3 linked regions of the Tribolium castaneum genome follow. The protein of the gene in region 1 binds, or shares a complex with, the protein of each later gene. Links are inferred from orthologs where the notes say so. Each region holds a gene or a part of one and is shown on either strand. Other genes may lie near its edges. The genes, in order: lobo, dynein regulatory complex subunit 3 and Gas8.

Evidence for each region.
Region 2: lobo (region 1) and dynein regulatory complex subunit 3 share a complex: the UniProt entries of both Homo sapiens proteins name them as parts of the nexin-dynein regulatory complex. The link is inferred for Tribolium castaneum from reciprocal best matches to the Homo sapiens genes DRC7 and DRC3.
Region 3: lobo (region 1) and Gas8 share a complex: the UniProt entries of both Homo sapiens proteins name them as parts of the nexin-dynein regulatory complex. The link is inferred for Tribolium castaneum from reciprocal best matches to the Homo sapiens genes DRC7 and DRC4.

The regions. Positions count from the first base shown.
Region 1 is NC_087396.1:18,011,643-18,017,158, reverse strand, and holds the end of lobo (dynein regulatory complex subunit 7), read right to left. Parts: intron 4,409-5,516; coding exon 4,055-4,408; intron 4,007-4,054; coding exon 3,821-4,006; intron 3,776-3,820; coding exon 3,553-3,775; intron 3,502-3,552; coding exon 3,244-3,501; intron 3,194-3,243; coding exon 3,055-3,193; intron 3,011-3,054; coding exon 2,929-3,010; intron 2,881-2,928; coding exon 2,446-2,880; intron 2,398-2,445; coding exon 2,200-2,397; intron 2,153-2,199; coding exon 1,989-2,152; intron 1,944-1,988; coding exon 1,880-1,943; 3' UTR 1,842-1,879; downstream 1-1,841. Other genes in the region: Bili (FERM domain-containing protein 8), read left to right, coding at 125-385, 437-602, 655-1,005, 1,047-1,176, 1,220-1,484, 1,530-1,678. UniProt on the Homo sapiens protein: Component of the nexin-dynein regulatory complex (N-DRC) a key regulator of ciliary/flagellar motility which maintains the alignment and integrity of the distal axoneme and regulates microtubule sliding in motile axonemes.
Region 2 is NC_087394.1:30,245,261-30,251,183, reverse strand, and holds dynein regulatory complex subunit 3, read right to left. Parts: upstream 3,210-5,923; 5' UTR 2,835-3,209; coding exon 2,678-2,834; intron 2,627-2,677; coding exon 2,343-2,626; intron 2,296-2,342; coding exon 2,123-2,295; intron 2,074-2,122; coding exon 1,725-2,073; intron 1,678-1,724; coding exon 1,282-1,677; exon of another isoform or gene 1,236-1,281; coding exon 1,096-1,235; exon of another isoform or gene 1,050-1,095; coding exon 917-1,049; 3' UTR 825-916; downstream 1-824. Other genes in the region: enoyl-CoA delta isomerase 1, mitochondrial, read left to right, coding at 690-806; TOM1-like protein 2, read left to right, coding at 3,625-3,688, 5,706-5,923. UniProt on the Homo sapiens protein: Component of the nexin-dynein regulatory complex (N-DRC) a key regulator of ciliary/flagellar motility which maintains the alignment and integrity of the distal axoneme and regulates microtubule sliding in motile axonemes.
Region 3 is NC_087400.1:9,426,675-9,432,597, reverse strand, and holds Gas8 (dynein regulatory complex subunit 4), read right to left. Parts: upstream 3,977-5,923; 5' UTR 3,790-3,976; coding exon 3,787-3,789; intron 3,737-3,786; coding exon 3,507-3,736; intron 3,456-3,506; coding exon 3,194-3,455; intron 1,345-3,193; coding exon 1,226-1,344; intron 1,171-1,225; coding exon 1,029-1,170; intron 976-1,028; coding exon 808-975; intron 758-807; coding exon 671-757; intron 627-670; coding exon 426-626; intron 380-425; coding exon 161-379; 3' UTR 135-160; downstream 1-134. UniProt on the Homo sapiens protein: Component of the nexin-dynein regulatory complex (N-DRC), a key regulator of ciliary/flagellar motility which maintains the alignment and integrity of the distal axoneme and regulates microtubule sliding in motile axonemes.

The sequences.
Region 1 (5,516 bases):
TATCTCAATAAAAACAGCGCAAACAGAAACCATACTGCCATATTTACTCAAATAAGTGATAAACAATAAATGCCATTCTTTGTTGTGTTGTGTATGATATTGGCAAACAGTATTTTATTTGTAGATTCTAATACGACAGCTTCGGTTCCAAGCTCGATCGTGAGCGCTTCAGCAATAGCCAACACATGCGAACAATTGCAGGGTCCTGTGGTACCGACTTGCGTTTATCTGCACAGTAATGTGGCTATATTGATGGAAATCGAGGATACCCCTTCAGCCACTTGCGATTTGCTATGTCAAGCGATCATCAATAGCGACGAGCTCGGATTAAACAAGCAGCTGGCATCACAAGTGTTTACTCTGTGGATGACGAGTCCACTTTTAGGTGTTTGTGATGTTTCAAAAAAGAGTTTTTTTTGCAAATGAGCCCTTTCAGAGCTTCAACTTAAACCTACGCATAAGCCGTATGAAATCAGGCAAAGTTGGCGGGCTTTGGTGGGGCAATACAGTCATGTGTCGAGTAATAGGCAACAAAGGGACGAACCGAAGATCATGTTCCAGAGGAATATTTTTTTCCCGCAACATCTAGAGGAGAAAATCAAGTAGTAGATTTCGATTTAACTGTATTCCACATCTCTGCTCTTTGTTCATTAGGGACCAAAAAATTTTAGAACTGTTGTATGAAGAAGCAAGACATAATATCCTGGAGGGACGATATCCGTGCGAGGTGGCACACTATATTATGCTAGGGGGTATCCAAGCCCGAGTCGAGTTAGGGCCGTACAACCCCCAAGTCCATTCGACCCACTATTTTAGGGAGGAGCAGTCGAAATACTTGCCCATCCATGTGAGGAAAAGCTCGACTTGGACTTGGCTACCCATCAGTTCGAAAAATTCGGCAGAGGTCCGACTTTTGGAACAGTTTAAACGAATCCCGAATTCGGCCACCAATCGAAAATTGATGAAAAAATATTTAGAGTTTTGTTGGTCGTTGCCGTTTTATGGGTAAGTGCCTCGCCTTTGGAAAATTCTATTTTCGGCCTTAGATCTGCTTTTTTCGAGGGACAAGTCGAACAACCGGTCCGTGGCTTAACATCGCTTATTACGTACCAAGACATTCCAGTACTTGTAGCTATTAATTCCAAAGGTGTTTACATAATAGATGATACTCAATGTGTACGTTTTTATTTTGTTGCGTTGGTGCTAGTGTTTGGTCCAGTCGTTGTTGTTAGGGTTACGGTTTGAGGAACTCAGTTGGGAATATGCAAGACCGTCGAAGGAGGAGGACCCTAACTGTCTTCCTTGTCTTTTTATCCAGTTTATGGTGGTCGAGAATGGAGCAAGGGTTTCGAAAATATTACAAGTTTTCTCAAGACAAGCTAGTCTTATGGATACACTCATAACTGGGTTTGTGAATCATATCAAGGCGAAAACGAACGATGAAACAGATAAGGCTTATGAACAACAAATAAGTAACGATAACGGTAAGTTTACAATTTTTGCCACCTTGGTTGATGTTATTTTTGCAGAGACTCATTCTTCATTAACGGTAGGAACCACTCACCATGCACCATCTTTACCTTCACTCACCAATAAGCTAAGCAAACTTACTTTGGCCACTTTTGACGAAGAAGGTCACTGTATTGGTCAAATGGGTTCTTGGTCTTTTAGTTATTAAGTACCGGTTTATAGAAGCGTCATTAATTTAACTGGCAATTAAATGCGTGTTTTACTGATCATGTGACCAAACTGAAGCAATTTGGTTGTTAACTTTTAACAACGATTTAAGTTTTAACGGAGCGTTCTATAAACCGGCCCTAAGTGTAAGAATACTCAACACAATGTATGGATCTCATAATTTTTTATTTTTTAATATACGTTATCCAAATGTTTCGATCAGTGGTTTTAATTGTGCATTCAAATACCTGACCACGGCTTCATATCTAAAAAAAATAATACGTAAAGAGACATTTCACGTAACTAAATACCTGAAAAATGATAAGTCACGATGACGAGCCAAGCGAATTTCGTAGCACTGTAAAAGAAAAGTCAAGTCATTAACTTCCTGAAAATATTTTATTTCGTCCTCTTCTGTGACCGTGTCTTGATTAATGTTGTACCACTGTTGCCTGTCTTTCAAATACTGCGTCCACTACGGAAAAATATGGTAAAAATGTCGCAAAACGGAATAAAAATTACGTGTTCGAACTGTTTTTGAATACAAATGGCCCGATTAAGCAACAACTGTTTAAAATCACTGAGACACTTCTCCTTAATCTTGAACGCCTCAACCGGGGTTACGCTCTCCGGATTTCCCAACAGAGTCAAATACGGCGTCAAATACTCAACACCTGCATCCTCAATTTCCCTTTCTTTATATTCCTGTTCTTGTTTTTCCTACAATTTCGGGTTTTAAGCACCGGAAACGCCAAACCTAAACCTAACTTTCTCCAACATTCCCTGACGGTACTCCTCGTTCTGCTCGATATTAAATAGCGAGACGTCCAGCTTCGGGAATGCCATTTCGTGGTCTCTCAGCGTCAAAAACTCTGCAACCTGGTCCTCGATTTCGCGGATCCGCGACAGGGATTTCTCCTCTTCTTTCAACATTTTCTGGAATAAAAGGAACAACTCCAGCTGTGTGGGGGGCTTCGCCCCGATTTCGGCGACATAACCCCAGGTGAGTTCAGGTGTGAACTTCATTCCCTCCCCCGATTCCGCAATCGAAGGCTTATTGAAATTCCTGGTCGAGCAAGTGACTCTTCCTTCCCCGAAATGATACTTTAGAAGAATCTGTCTATCGACGATTGCGAATTCTCGGGTCGCGATATCGTGACTCGCGGGGACTTTATGGTTCCTTTCGTATTTCTCGATTATTCTCTGAAATAAAATTGTCAGTTAGTGTGAGAGCACGCTAGTTTAACTAACTAGAATCAATTTTCGGTGACTTTCGGTGAACCCAGGCGGGGGTTGGCCTTTGCGGGCGTAGAACACTTCGCGAAAATAAAACCTGAAACCTGTGTTTAACTCAATTTTTTTGCTCTTGCGACTCACAAATCGTCACGGTCTATGTAATATTCAACCATGTGTTCCCGCTCGAATTCAATTTTTTCCAAGCCGTCGTAGCGTGCCTTGTGGTTGAACTTAATTATCCGCTTATTTGAATCGGTGTCTTTATTCGAGTAAGTGTGCTCTAAAACATGTTCAGTTTTTGTTATCACACAAAAAATTTGGTTTTAATACCAATCACGGCATCTTCTCGCCCAGGGCCAAAATACTCCGTGACTAGATCGCTTTTTAAATCATAAACAATTTTCTTCAATTTGTCTTGTCTGTTTTCGTAAATCTGCTCAACTGTGATACATTCCGTACAATCAAAGTCTTTATATCTCATAATTTTGGTTAAAAGTCCGTCATATTGAATATAAGGGGCGTATTCTTCGACTAGTGTTTTTTTATACCAAGTACTGATCATGCCTTCGGGGTATTTTTGTTTTAGAGCTAGAAATAGCAAAAATTCGGACACCAAATTCAAATTTTTGTGTGATCAACCTTTGTGCGGTATAGATATTTTCATGCTCCAAGATATCGGCATGTCTAAATGTTTTTCTTCCATTATTTTCGCTAAAGCGGCTTCTTCGTCATCCATATTTAAATTTTCGACGGTGACTCTCCACTGAGTCGGCTCTCCGATCAACAAATGTTCCCATTTTTCAACATCGTGCAAATTGTAGTCGATTGTACCCAACCCTTCCTTGCAGTCTTGCATATTGACCTGTTTAAAAAACCTAAGAAAATAGTCACTTTACTCCCGCCATACCCAATAATTCAAATGATTCCAAACACTTTCGATGCCACTGTACAACGGACTATTAACCGGATGCGCATATCCAGTACTCGGCTCAACGAAAGTATTTTCGTCGATGGCGCGACCTTCTGTCCTTATCAGGACCCAAAAATGGAACCTCATCCCTTCCAGATCGTCCGGCGGCGGCCGTTCCTCCTCCTAATCACCAAAAAAATAGTTTCAAGTCGTTTTTTCGTGTGTCATCACCTCTTCTCTCTGCCGTTCCAGTTCGGCTTCGCGTTCTTGTTCGGCTTTGATCTGATCGATTTTTTTCTGTTCCATCATCAATAAAAATTTACTTCGCAAATCTCTGGGGGGCTTAACGGTGTATTTCTTATTGTCTTCACCTTCGTCACGTACATCTTCTTGTTTCTCATCGGGGGGGTATGGAGAATCGACACGACTCATTATTCGTAACGTTATATCTCGCACTGCGTAGCCGAAGACCACGTAGGCATCGTAACCGAGGCCTATGAGGAGGGAACAAAGGACACAAGCAAGCTCGTGGGGCTGTCCGGACTTGCGGACGAAGGTTGTGTGAGGAGAGTAGAAACGGTTTGGCTATAAAGATAATAATTCAATAGTTATCATAAAATTAAGATATTTCGCCCGGCACCTCCACCATTTTTACAAACATTTTCAAACTACTTTCTGCATTTGGTACATTAAAAATATTACCATTTATTGCACCGCACCATGTTTTTCAAAACGCTGTGAATATGATTCAAAACACAGAAAAGAGGTCCGCTTAACCATATTACTATCTTCAACCGTTTAAGTTTAAATTGCTTTAAAGTTTTTTCCACACACTCAACTACAGGTACAAATTAAACGAATCTGTCGTTTGAGCGGCTTTGAAGGTCTTTGGGTTTTGAAATGTTAATGAGATATGGTTTTGCGGACTTTTAATTCTCTACTATTTTCTTCTCTACATCAATAACCGAACTCCTAGCGTTTTGGAAAATATGATACGGAACGCAACTGTTAATTTTTCTCATGTTTATTGTGAAAAATCGAATCAGGTTTTCTCAACGTATTAAGATTTTGTTTCTAAACGTTCTTGCATTTTTTCAAATTAAGGGCATTTTTACTCCGCCGTTCTAAATTTTGAAGTATAGAAAATAGAGTTATTTTGTATCTCGTTTCTCGTTTTCTTAATATTTACTTATCCACTAGAATGATTAACTTTCCCGGCGCATCCACCATTTTTACAATTTACCAATAAATGATATCTTGTTGTTAACTTGTTAGCACTACTTTAAAAGTCTGATTTTTTTATTGCCAGATAAACCTCGGATAAGTTATTCGAAGTATAATTACTATGGTTACAATTGTTACAACAATATATTTTTGAAAATTTATTCCCAGGATGAAGTTATCGGGCGATTGTAAAATCCACTCTTAGAAAGACAAATTATTAATTTTACTTTGTTTATAAATTCAAAATTCGACTTATTAAATGTATGTTACTAGTTTGCCCGGCGCATCCTCCATTTTTTGTATTACTAAAAAATCCAATTTTTTTATGTTTTTGAAAGCATTTAATTATTTATTTTAGATATTTATTTACATTAAAAGTATACGTATTTTTTACTGCCTCCGGGTTCTAGATTTGTTTAAATTAAGCGTCAAAACTGTCTTTTATTTCGTAATTCATCTTAGTACAGTG
Region 2 (5,923 bases), on another chromosome or scaffold:
TTTCAGCAAATCTAAACACCAATAACTCACTTATCAGAGCAACATATTTTATCCACTCTCAAGCACCTTTAATAAATAAATTTATTAAACTAGTCATGACGAAGTTGCATTCAGAACTGTTGTAAAGTGATTTCGCATCAAGGTCCTTCAATTGTATTTTTTGTATTCATTATCATTGTTTATAACAGTTTTATAAAATTATGCAACGTGTCCCAGCGAGTTGGAAGAGACTGCTAACCTTCCAAATGTTACAATATTAAAAAAAAGTTGTGTTAAAAAGGCTTCGATACTGACCTATGAGCTTAAATTATTTTCAAGTATATAGAAATTATCTCAAAAATAATTTGTTATCCAAAAAACCCCAAGATCTTTTAGTACTGAAATTGTTGGTAATACTTTCGAATTAAGTTTATACTAGAAGTTGAGGGTACTATCTTTCTGCAGAAATTAATCAGTTGGCATTTATCCGTATTTTTTTTAAGTTTCAAAAACTAGGTAGGTAAAATCATTATTAAAAATGCAAGGAAATATAACGAAATGTTTTATTAAGGAAACTCACCAAGGAAACATATTTTTATCTCAACATATTATGTGATGCAATTAGTATTATGATTTTTTTATAGACTTTTTTGGCATTTTTGTATTTAAGGCTCAATTATATATTTTGTAAAAATGAGTTTTTATTTCAGGACCTCACTAACAATCTCCAAAAAGATTACGAATATGTGGCGAATTACGTAGCTCAGGACAGTGTGCAAAAGGGGTTGGAAATGTATCTGCAATCATTGAAGCAGAAACAGAAATAAGGATATTATAAGTTGATATTCTTTTATATAATGAAGTGTAAAATTTATTATCCAAACCAAGAATATGTGTAAGTACTTTTGTAAAAATAAAGTATATTTTACTATCTTACTTATTCCAAGGCTATAACGTCATCCTTGAGATCAGGCGCGTATTCCTTATTCAAATCCTCAAACTCCTGCCTTTGGATTTCAAGAAAGTGGTTAATTTCCAGCACTTTCCCCCTGTTTCGCTTGATCTCATTCCTACAAGTTGTGGATATTTTTCGGGAAAAGTAAAGGCATAACTTACGTGTTTAAATCGTCGATTAAATCATTTAGCCAATCCTTGGCGTTCGAAATGAGAGTGTCTTCTCTCGCATCGATAATCTGCATGTGCATATCGTGACTTGTTGCCAACGCGTTGTGCAGAAGATCCTTATCTGCCATAAGCTGTAATCTCATTGAAATTATTAATAAAGCAAGTGCCGGAAGTTACCGGTTTAAGAACTGCGGGAACTTCGATTTCCTCATTCAAATTGGCATTTGTTTGAAACTTTGTGGCCAAATCGCCGATATTTTCAGCGTAGCTCACTTCCAGCTCTCTGATCTGCGTAAAGAAAGCCTGCGACGATTCAATGAAATTATTAACGAGTTCTGTGATGTTGTGTTCGAAAGTTTGGTTGACTTCTTCCATTTGTTCGTAAAGTTCCAGTTCCAGTTTCATTAGCGCTTTCCAAACTTCGTGCAACATCTCGTCGTACTCCACCACGAAGACGTCGCATTTGTCGATAAACTCGTCGTAATTTATTTCGTTTGAGTTCAGCTGGTTTTGCACGTTTTTGATTTTGAGGAACAGTATTGCCTTCTTCTCCAGGAAGATCTCCATGTGTTTCTACGGACGAAATTTGGGGCTATAAGTAAATTCGAAAGGGGGCGTACAATGCTTTCGTCTTGATTGTCCTTATTTGCGTCTTCGACGCATTTTAAGAACTGGTCCTGTTCGGTTTTGCGCAGGATGTACTGTTGTTGCCCATTTTCGAATATTTGTTTACACAGTTCGATGAAGTTCTCCTCGTACTCGTCGTAGAATTCTTGCGCGTCTTCGCCGATTTTCATCAAGTTCATGCCGTCGGTGTCGTTGGCAAATAAAGAGTCGAACAAATGGCGAGTGTTTAAATACTCCACGAAACTAGAGGCGTGAAGTTCGGCATCGGCCAACTCTTGTTCCTTTATCGCAGTGATTTCCCGTTCCTTCTCCTCTTTCTCCAACAATGCTCGCAGTTTTGCACTAAAAAACTCTCCTACTGATGTTCACTTAAACAATTTTAGCTAGAAACCTGAAAGTTTCGTGTCCAAGTTCCCGTTCCGACTCGTATATTAATTTATATTCGTAGTAAACGAGTTGTGGCAGAAAAACTGCAATAAATAAACGAAAATCTTCATCCTCGGCACAGGGATTCCCCACTAGATTTAACGATTTTAAATTGCCGAATCGTCGCAAATACAGAATCTATAAAATATTTGTGTATTCTAGAACACAATTATTTTTCGTAATACATTGTCCAAGTCGTCAATTTTGTTTCTTCCAATGCTAAAAACTGTTAATTTTGTTAAAGTGTCCATGTTCTCCAAAACCGTGATTTCGTTATCATACAGACTCAGCTTTTCAAGGTTGCGAAGCTCGTCTAAATTTTCGATTTTAGCTATTTTATTGAATGATAAATTTAGTTCAGTTAAGTTCACCAGACTTTCCAAATTTTCGATTTTTTCCAGTAAATTATTGTTGAGATTTAATTTCGTTAAAGATGTCAGCACCCACAAGTGGTCAATTCTTAAGATATCTACGGATAGGGACACAGAAAGTCGGGTTTAAATTTTACAAGAATTGTTACTCAGAAATTCTAAGCGAATCTCGGTGACGTCTTCAAGGGGGATTTTTTCGATCTCCGCCAAGCGACCCGCTTCACCCTTGGGGCCCTGGTCTTTGATACATTTCTCCAGAAGGGCATTGTCTATTACTTTTGGCTCTTTCAATTTACAAGGATTCATTTTTACAAATTTTCATTAGGCACACTAAATCGATACAAATACCTTTTCAAGCATTCTTGAAATTATTGATGTCACAATGACTGTTGTTTAAGTACCTTATTGTTGCTATGGACTTGAGAAATCATGAATCTTTGAGTTTGCCGAGCTTGTGCTCTTGAGTTTTATTATTTTTCATTGTGAAATTATATCAATTACAAAAAACTCTTTACAGGTAGATTATAACGTCTAAGTAGATAAAAATAGCCCAGAGAGGGTTTTTGGAGTAAAAAAATCTTTACAATTAAGAGTTTGCGAAATTGTAGTCGAGGCGAAGCCGAGTGCTGATACCGCAACTTATAAAAAAATACTCAAAATTGTAAAATTACGTTGTATTCTGTATCAAAGAAGAAATGACAACAGCACAGTTATAAATGCAGAAATGCTCGCTTTGGTAGTATATTACGTGAAAGAACGGAAAAATAACATAAAAAAAGAACTTTAAATTGTGAACCGCACCTCGTATAATTTTTGATCACGTGACACATGTCTGACGTCTTTTTATTCAGAAGTTTACACAACTTGGGAATGAAAAGATCAATAAATTAGAAAAACAGTGACTAACACACCAACAAGCGCGTCATGCAGTTTATTTGTTTGAAATAAAATTGTTATTTTCGTCGGAAAATTTTAGATTTAGGAGCGGAAGTATTGCGCAAGCGCCGCAGTGTTTTCTTGTTTTGACAAGTGACAGTGACAGAAGTCAAGTGACAACAAGAAAGTGCAATCGTGAAATTTAATTTAGAAATAAAAAATGTCTTTTTTTGGAACTGCATTAGGAGGAAATCCCTTTTCGACGCCCGTAGGATCGCGAATTGGTGAGTCCCGCTTGGCATTGCCGGATTTCATTTAATTTTTTTCCGTTGTTAAAATCGATTTAATAAAACGTAAATAGAACTAGAAACCGGTGCTGGCACTGTATTTTATTGTTTAGATTACATTGTTTATCACTTTTGTTGGCTGATTCACCTATATCTATTCATCAGACTGTTTAATTACTGTTTCTGGTAATAATTCTAAGGTACTTCGTCATCGCTGTCTGTGTAGGTGTAGGTTTTTGCATTTACATTTTGTTTGTCACAACTACAGCGTGGTTTTTATTTCGTACCAAATTTGTTTATAATTATTTACCAATAGGTGTGACTTATACTACTCTACATAGGCTATCAACTGAGACGTTTTATGCTTTCTTCACGGGGTCCTATGGAAATTTGTCTATTTAAACCTATTATTAAAAAAATACTTTGCGTTATCGGTACAATAATCTCTTATGTATGTCACAACAGTTAGGAATAATACCGCTGTAGTACCCACATTCTTTGATAATTTTATGGGCAAAACGTAGTTGAAATATTTTTCATCGTTGCTTTAAAATAAATATACATATGTATTTATGCTAATTCAGATCAGTTAATTAATTGGAACTATTTTTGCGCGTTCTTAATCACCTTAGAATAAAAATAACAATATAAATTCTTTTCTATCGCCTATTTACATGAATAATTCAAGTGTAAAATAGAGCAACAAGAATTTTCGAAAATGACCAATAACATAGTAATAATAAGTCCATAAACAATCATTCAACAATGTGTTGTGAGACATTGGTAAATATTTAAGTAATGAACCAGACATATTTTTTTCAGATAAAATTTTAAAATGTTTGGCTAACAAAAAACAACGTCCTCTCCAAAACTTTTCTTTACAATTATTATAATTAATTGTGATTACTGCAGCGTGCACCACATTTATTTAAGTGATTAGATTTAATTATTAAAATGGATGTGAACCTAGTCATTTGGTAAATTAAATTGTACTACAAAATTAATAGTAAAGTTAATTTGTACGTAAAATGTTGCAATAGCATGCAACTGTATGGGCGAGGCATGTGTTACATGTATTACAGTTATGAGTCGGTTTGTAGGTGGATTTTCACAATTTTGTATATTTGGAGGAAAAAAACTCCATTGCCATTTTTAGTTTTTAATTTAGACTAATATGCAATGAAGGAAAAATTGTTAATGAGTATTACGACACCACTCGCTTGATCTTACAAGTCCAATATAGGTAGTAAACTGAGAGCACAATACAAGGCTAAGTGACTTCATCGATTTTAAATTTGCGTGTTGAATAGTTTACTTTAAAGATTACTTCAAAGTTAATAATACTGTTCTAAACCGCCTTGCATAAATATTGCTTTCAAGTGATAAGTTTAGTTGAGAAAATGTACAGTACGGTTAAAAAAATACACGTTAACACAAAATTTGTAACAGTAATTTTTTCTTTGCAACACAAATTTATAAAGGCGAAAACGTCGGATTAAATCTTTAATTTTCCAAAAAATGTTTTCTTATATTTTATAAAATGTCTAAGTTTCCATTGATTCCATGTTCACATTTTTAAATTACTTTCTGAAATTGTCAAATTTTATTTTTATTTTTGTGGGCTTTAGAATGTATCGGATTATAAATTTTTTTCAGAAATTCTAGAAATATTAAATGGATCTTCTTGACACAAGAGTTTCCAGTACAATATAACATACAGACTAAAATAGCAGCGATAGTAACGTCACACGTAAAAAAACAGTAATTAAATTCTAATCGTTTGTGTATTCTAAATTTCTGACGAATTTGAGTAATTTATTTCAAAAGTAAAAAGAAAGTTTGGCAAAAAAAACATGTTATAAAGTGGTGTATTATATTTAGAAGAAAATTGTCATTTTTACAAGCCCTTTGTATAAATCACATTAGCTTTTCGATAAAAAAAGATTAATATAAGCACACAAATTGTAAATTTATTGGACCAGAACAATGCAGTTATTTTGGCTTGATTTTGTAGAACAAGCCACAGATGGAACGTTGGCTTCGGAAAACTGGAGCCTTAACATGGAAATATGTGATTTGGTGAACGAGACAGAAGACGGCCCTCGAGATGCCGTCAAAGCCATAAGGAAGCGTCTCACTCAGAACGCTGGAAAAAACTACACAGTGGTGATGTACACCTTGACCGTTTTAGAAACTTGTGTAAAAAATTGCGGAAAAAGGTTCCACGTTTTA
Region 3 (5,923 bases), on another chromosome or scaffold:
CGTATCCATTTTTCTAGAGAAGCGTACACATAACAATGTTTCTTTCATTATTAAAGTGTAAACATTTCTAAAACGGCTAAATTTAGGTATCGGAAAAATAAGAAACTAAACCTAAATAAATAAAAATAAAACAGTTTAATTTCGCCATTTATTCACACAATTATCGATTCTTTGTAACAAGCCCAGCTGGGCCTTTCGGCAGCCCCCCTTGCCCATCCTGCAAAATCCTCAACGGAACAAAACCCAACTCCTCTTTAGGAATGCCATATTGTTGCAATTTATCTTCGTAAGTATCCAAAAGATCATCGTGCGCTTTACACACCCTGGCCAGCTCATACTGTAAGTCATGTATGACCGTATTTTTTCTTGCTAAAATTTTCTGAAACATTTTTTATTAAAAAAAAATCATAAAACTTTCAACCCACCTCCAGCTTCAAATTTTTCGCCGTAATATCTTCCGACGTTAGCGCCCTCAGCTCCCCAATTATCACATCTCTGTATTCCGCCACATTTGTCAAAGTTTGGATACGTTTCTGCAAAAGCATATTTTTCTGACCGGTTTTCTGCTGAACGTCTAGAATTGCCTCGATGAATCTTCGACTCAGTTCGTCTTTTTCGGCCTCGAGCTGGAAAATTTTCAATAACCGGACGAAATAATAAAAATAGGCACCTTTTCAAATCTTAATTGCAAAGCATCGTTTGCCCATCTTAAATCATCCAGCTCTTGTTTAGTGGACGATAATTTAGCTTTGGTGTTCTAAAATTGACTGCCTGATTAAAATTTACCACAAATTAGTAATTTGTTACCGCCAGTGATAACTTGTCCTTTTCGTAATGTTCAAGTTGTCGTTTATACTCAGCAACATCAATTTGTGCTTGTTTTAAAGGTTCAGTTAAGCGCTTGTTTTCGGCAGTTATGTCAGCGACTTGTTTACTCATTCGTTCGTTTTGTTTCCGAAGAACTTCCATTTGGTCCTGCAATTTGAAATTAAAAGACATCACTTAATTTTTTTATAATTATTTGTTACTTTCAAGCTACTTATTAACGCCAAGTTGTTTAAAGTAATGTCATTGTAATAGTTCTTCATTTCATTGAACACTTTCTCGTGATGTTTTGTCAAATCAGTAATTTGGTTATTTTTGCGCTCTTCCAGCTCCGACATTTCCATCCTACAACAAATATGGTAAATAATGTAAAAAACTTGCACATTTATTCCTTGATTACGTATGTTTGATGTTTAATTCTTGTTTCAGGTCAGCAAATTTTTTTTCGTATTTATTTTCCAGTTCTTTTTCTTTCAGTTCGAATTGGTTTCTGATGGTGCTTATCTCTTCACTATGTTGCTAAAAACAATTATTTTTTTATTGGTAATATTTTAAGCCTTTTTTTATATCTCAATCCTAGATTATAAACATTATTTTAAAGCACGCTTCCCATAGCAACGTGTTTTAAAAAATAAAATGTTCCAACAAAAAAAAATTGAATAACACTCATACGAAAACGCTTAAAGTTCTCGGGTGTCTAGGTATGCAACTCGCATATGCTCGTTGCATAATGACAGCCCTCTAACTTTAAGCTTGTGTTTTCGCACTCGTATTATTAATAACTATTTTTTGTTGGTAACATTTTAAGCCTTCTTTTTAATATCAGAATCATAAATCATAAACACTATTCTAAAACACGCTTCCCATAGCAACGTATTTTAAATTAAAATATTTCAACAAAAAAAAATTGAATAACACTCATACGAAAACGCTTAAACTTCTCGGGTGTCTAGGTATGAAACTCGCATACGCTCGTTGCATAAAGAGGGCTCTCAAACTTTAGGCTTGTGTTTTTGGACTCTTATCATTAATAACTATTTTTTTTTGGTACTATTTTAAGTCTTTTTTTTAATATCTGAATCCTAGATTATAAACATTATTTTAAAACACGTTTCCCATAGCAACGGGTTTTCGCTATTTTAAAACACGCTTTTTATAGCCACGTGTTTTAAATTAACATATTCTCAGGTGTCTAGGTATGTAACTTGCATACGCCCTCAAACTTTAAGCTTGTGTTTTACTCTTATTATTAATAACTATTTTTGTTAGTAACATTTTAAGCCTTCTTTTTAATATCTGAATCCTAAATTATAAACACTATTCTAAAACACGTTTCCCATAGCAACGTGTTTTCGTTATTTTAAAACACGCTTCCCATAGCAACGTATTTTAAATTAAAATATTTCAACAAAAAAAATTGAATAACACTCATACGAAAACGCTTAAACTTCTCGGGTGTCTCGCATGCGCTCGTTGCATAAAAACAGCCCTCAAACTTTAAGCTTGTGTTTTCGGACTCTTATTATTAATAACTATTTTTTTTATAACATTTTAAGCATTTTTTTAATATCTGAATCCTAGATTATGATCATTATTTTAAAACACGTTTCCCATAGCAACGTGTTTTCGTTATTTTAAAACACGCTTTTCATAGCAACGTGTTTTAAATTAAAATGTTCCAACAAAAATTTTTAAATAACACTCAAACGAAGACGCTTAAAGTTCTTGGGTGTTTAGGTATGCAACTCGCATATGCTCGTTTCATAACGACAGCCTTCGAACTTTGATCTTGTGTTTTTGCACTCGTATTATTAATAACTATTTTTTGTTGGTAACATTTTAAGCCTTCTTTTTGATATTAGAATCCTAAATCATAAACACTATTCTAAAACACGTTTCCCATAGCAACATGTTTTCGTTATTTTAAAACACGCTTCCAATAGCAACGTATTTTAAATTAAAATATTCCAACAAAAAAAAATTGAATAACACTCATACGAAAACGCTTAAACTTCTCGGGTGTCTAGGTATGAAACTCGCATACGCTCGTTGCATAAAGAGGGCTCTCAAACTTTAGGCTTGTGTTTTTGGACTCTTATCATTAATAACTATTTTTTTTTGGTACTATTTTAAGTCTTTTTTTTAATATCTGAATCCTAGATTATAAACATTATTTTAAAACACGTTTCCCATAGCAACGGGTTTTCGCTATTTTAAAACACACTTTTCATAGCAACGTGTTTTAAATTAAAATGTTCTAACAAAAAACAGGCATACGAAAACACTCGGGTATCGCATACGCTCGTTGCATAACGACAGCCGTATTATTAATAATAATAACTATTTAAATTCAAATAATCATAGGTACCAGTTTTAAAGCTTTGACTTGATCTTGATGGGCGACTTCTTGTTCCCGCATTTGCGCTTTCAAATCTCGCTTATCTCGCAACAATTCTCTTTCCTGTTCAGTGTGGTCATCTTGTGACATTTTCAGCGAAACAAGCGCTTCAGCTTTACATTCTGTTAAGTTGTTTTGGTGTTCGTATTGCAAATGTTTGACTTTTTGCTTGTAAAATTTCAGTTCTTCTTCGTTTTTCTCAGCCGCTTCCTCAATCTGTCGGTCTTTGTTTCTACAAATTTTTATTCTAGTGTTTGTTTTTACAAATTTTTAATTTTTGCACCTGAGTTTTGCTTTAGCTTCTTCAAGTTCATTTTTTGTGATTTCCCAAAACGTCCGTAATTTATCTCTTTCGAGTTGAAAGAAATTTCGTTCTTCTCTTTCTCGTTCGTTTTCCTCTTTTATTCGGTGGCAGAAGACCTCGAGCTGCTCTCGGGTCATTTGAGTTGTGTCCACTCCATCGATGATATTTCCCGAACCGCCTTTTCCTTTTCCACCTTTCTTTTTGGGAGGCTGGAAAATTTTAATTAGCGAAAATTCAAACAATTATTAAAATACTGAACCATTTTACGAAGTGAAAGTGAATGAACTAGCTAGCAGTTCTTCAAGAAACTATTTGTTTAGATGGTTACTACCCGCGTATCGATTTCTTTGGAATGGACTTATTTTAAGGGAGAATTCTGCCCAATGAGTCAATGACACTAAAAATATTCTGTCAGAAAATTTGGCATCTAAATGACTATTTAGAAAATGTGTCGGAGTGACAAAAAAACTTGTGAAGAATTAATCTTTTATTTGTTATTTCTTATTAAACCAGTAATTATTAAAATCGGATGCACAAAACTTTATTTTTATAACCTAGTATACTACAGTGTGAATTATGGAGGACTATTTATTAGTTTGGAGACGAAACGAGACAGAAAATCGCAGAAATTTCTGAACTTAAAAAAATAGTACAGCGGAGAAAAAATGAGGGCGCTTCAAGCGATTTTAAATTAATTTAAATCCAACCAACTCACTCATTACTTGGAAAAAATGCAGAAATGTTAAGCTCTGCACTCTTAACAAAAACTGACGACTAAAATTTTCATAACAAACATGAGAAAAAATTATTTAAGATTTAAAATTGGGAAAAAATTTCAAATGAATTAAATTTCCTGTAAAGAAGACCGCCAGACCATATTTCTAACGTCATCGGTTTATGCCTTGAAGACGCTGAACCAAGTGTAGGTATAAAGTTAATTATTACAGGGTGAGTCAATAGTGGGTTACTTCTAACATGTCCTAAAATGCAACCAAAAATACTAATTGCACGTACGACTTGGAATTTGATTTTTAAAACATTATTTAAATTAACACTGGTTTTTTATCATTTAAATAATAATAATCTATAACAAAATCTATAATGAACTGTCAAGACAAACTTGACACTATCCAGAACAATGTAATCTTGGATTAAATTAATTTTTTTAACAATTACCCATCTGGTCAGCAGGAATCGCTATTATTGGTTGCATATTTATAGAAATTTAGAAACAACCCACTTTTATCCACTATGTATACAGGATGTATCAAAAATTCGTGTGTTAATTTTAACACGTAATAAAACTCATCAAAGAGAACAACATTTCTATATAACATTTTGCAAAATTGTTATTTATAATTTTCTTCGTTTTCCTCCTTTCTTTTGTGCAAACGAGTCGGTCAGTGTTTAATAATTATTGCATTCATGGCAACCATTTGCATTGTTGTTTTAAATTGTTTAAATTGTCCGTTTCTATCACAACGAAAATAGTTCAGTTCACTTATTTTTGTACTTATAGATGAGTACACGTTTCAGTATGTTATCTTTTTTCAAATTTTGAGTAAATTTGCAAATTTTTTATTGAAAAATTACAAATAGAAAAGATGTTTTATTTGTTGAGCTCTATTACCTGTTAAAATTAAGACACGTATTTCTGATGCACCCTGTATAAACTGTAGAAGATAGAAATATGGTGTCAAGTACTTTTTTTACAAAAAATTCAGTTCCGTATTCCCAGTGTTTTGATAAATATGCGCCGGTGCGCAAAGAATTATTGCTTTGAATTATCAACTTGCGTTCCACCTTATATTTTTGAGAACGTAGTAAAAACGGTTAAAGATACCAAAAATGTGTAAGGAACAAAGTTATAGAGAATTAAATTTTCTACAAAAAAACTGCAACACCATATTTCTATTAATAATGGTTTATGTATAATTTAACATTCCAAGATCTGACCACCGGTAAAATAAACCAAATCCGTCGCTTGAGCGTCTGAGAACGACTTTGGGGCCCAACTGGTTGAAGATATGGACATAGTTTCCCAGACTTTTTTGTAGGAAATTTAATTCTCTACAACTTTCTTTCTAAAATTTTTCTTGCATCTGTAAACTGTATTCGTAGCGTTTTGAAAAATCTGAGGTAGAGTGCAAATAGAGCAAAGTTTATACTTTTTTTTAAATATAGTTTACGATAAAATTTTCGCATTACTTTTGTATCTTATTTATTGAGAATTTCATCCTCTAGTTGTTGTTTTTTTTTGTTTGCTTTGTACTAATTGTTATACAAATACAAGCATTTTTTCAAATTTATTGCTCTGAAAACTTGACGGTAATGGAACAACTACGTTCTTTAGCGACATTAACGGAACTAACGAGGATGGAAACGTTTTATTTGTA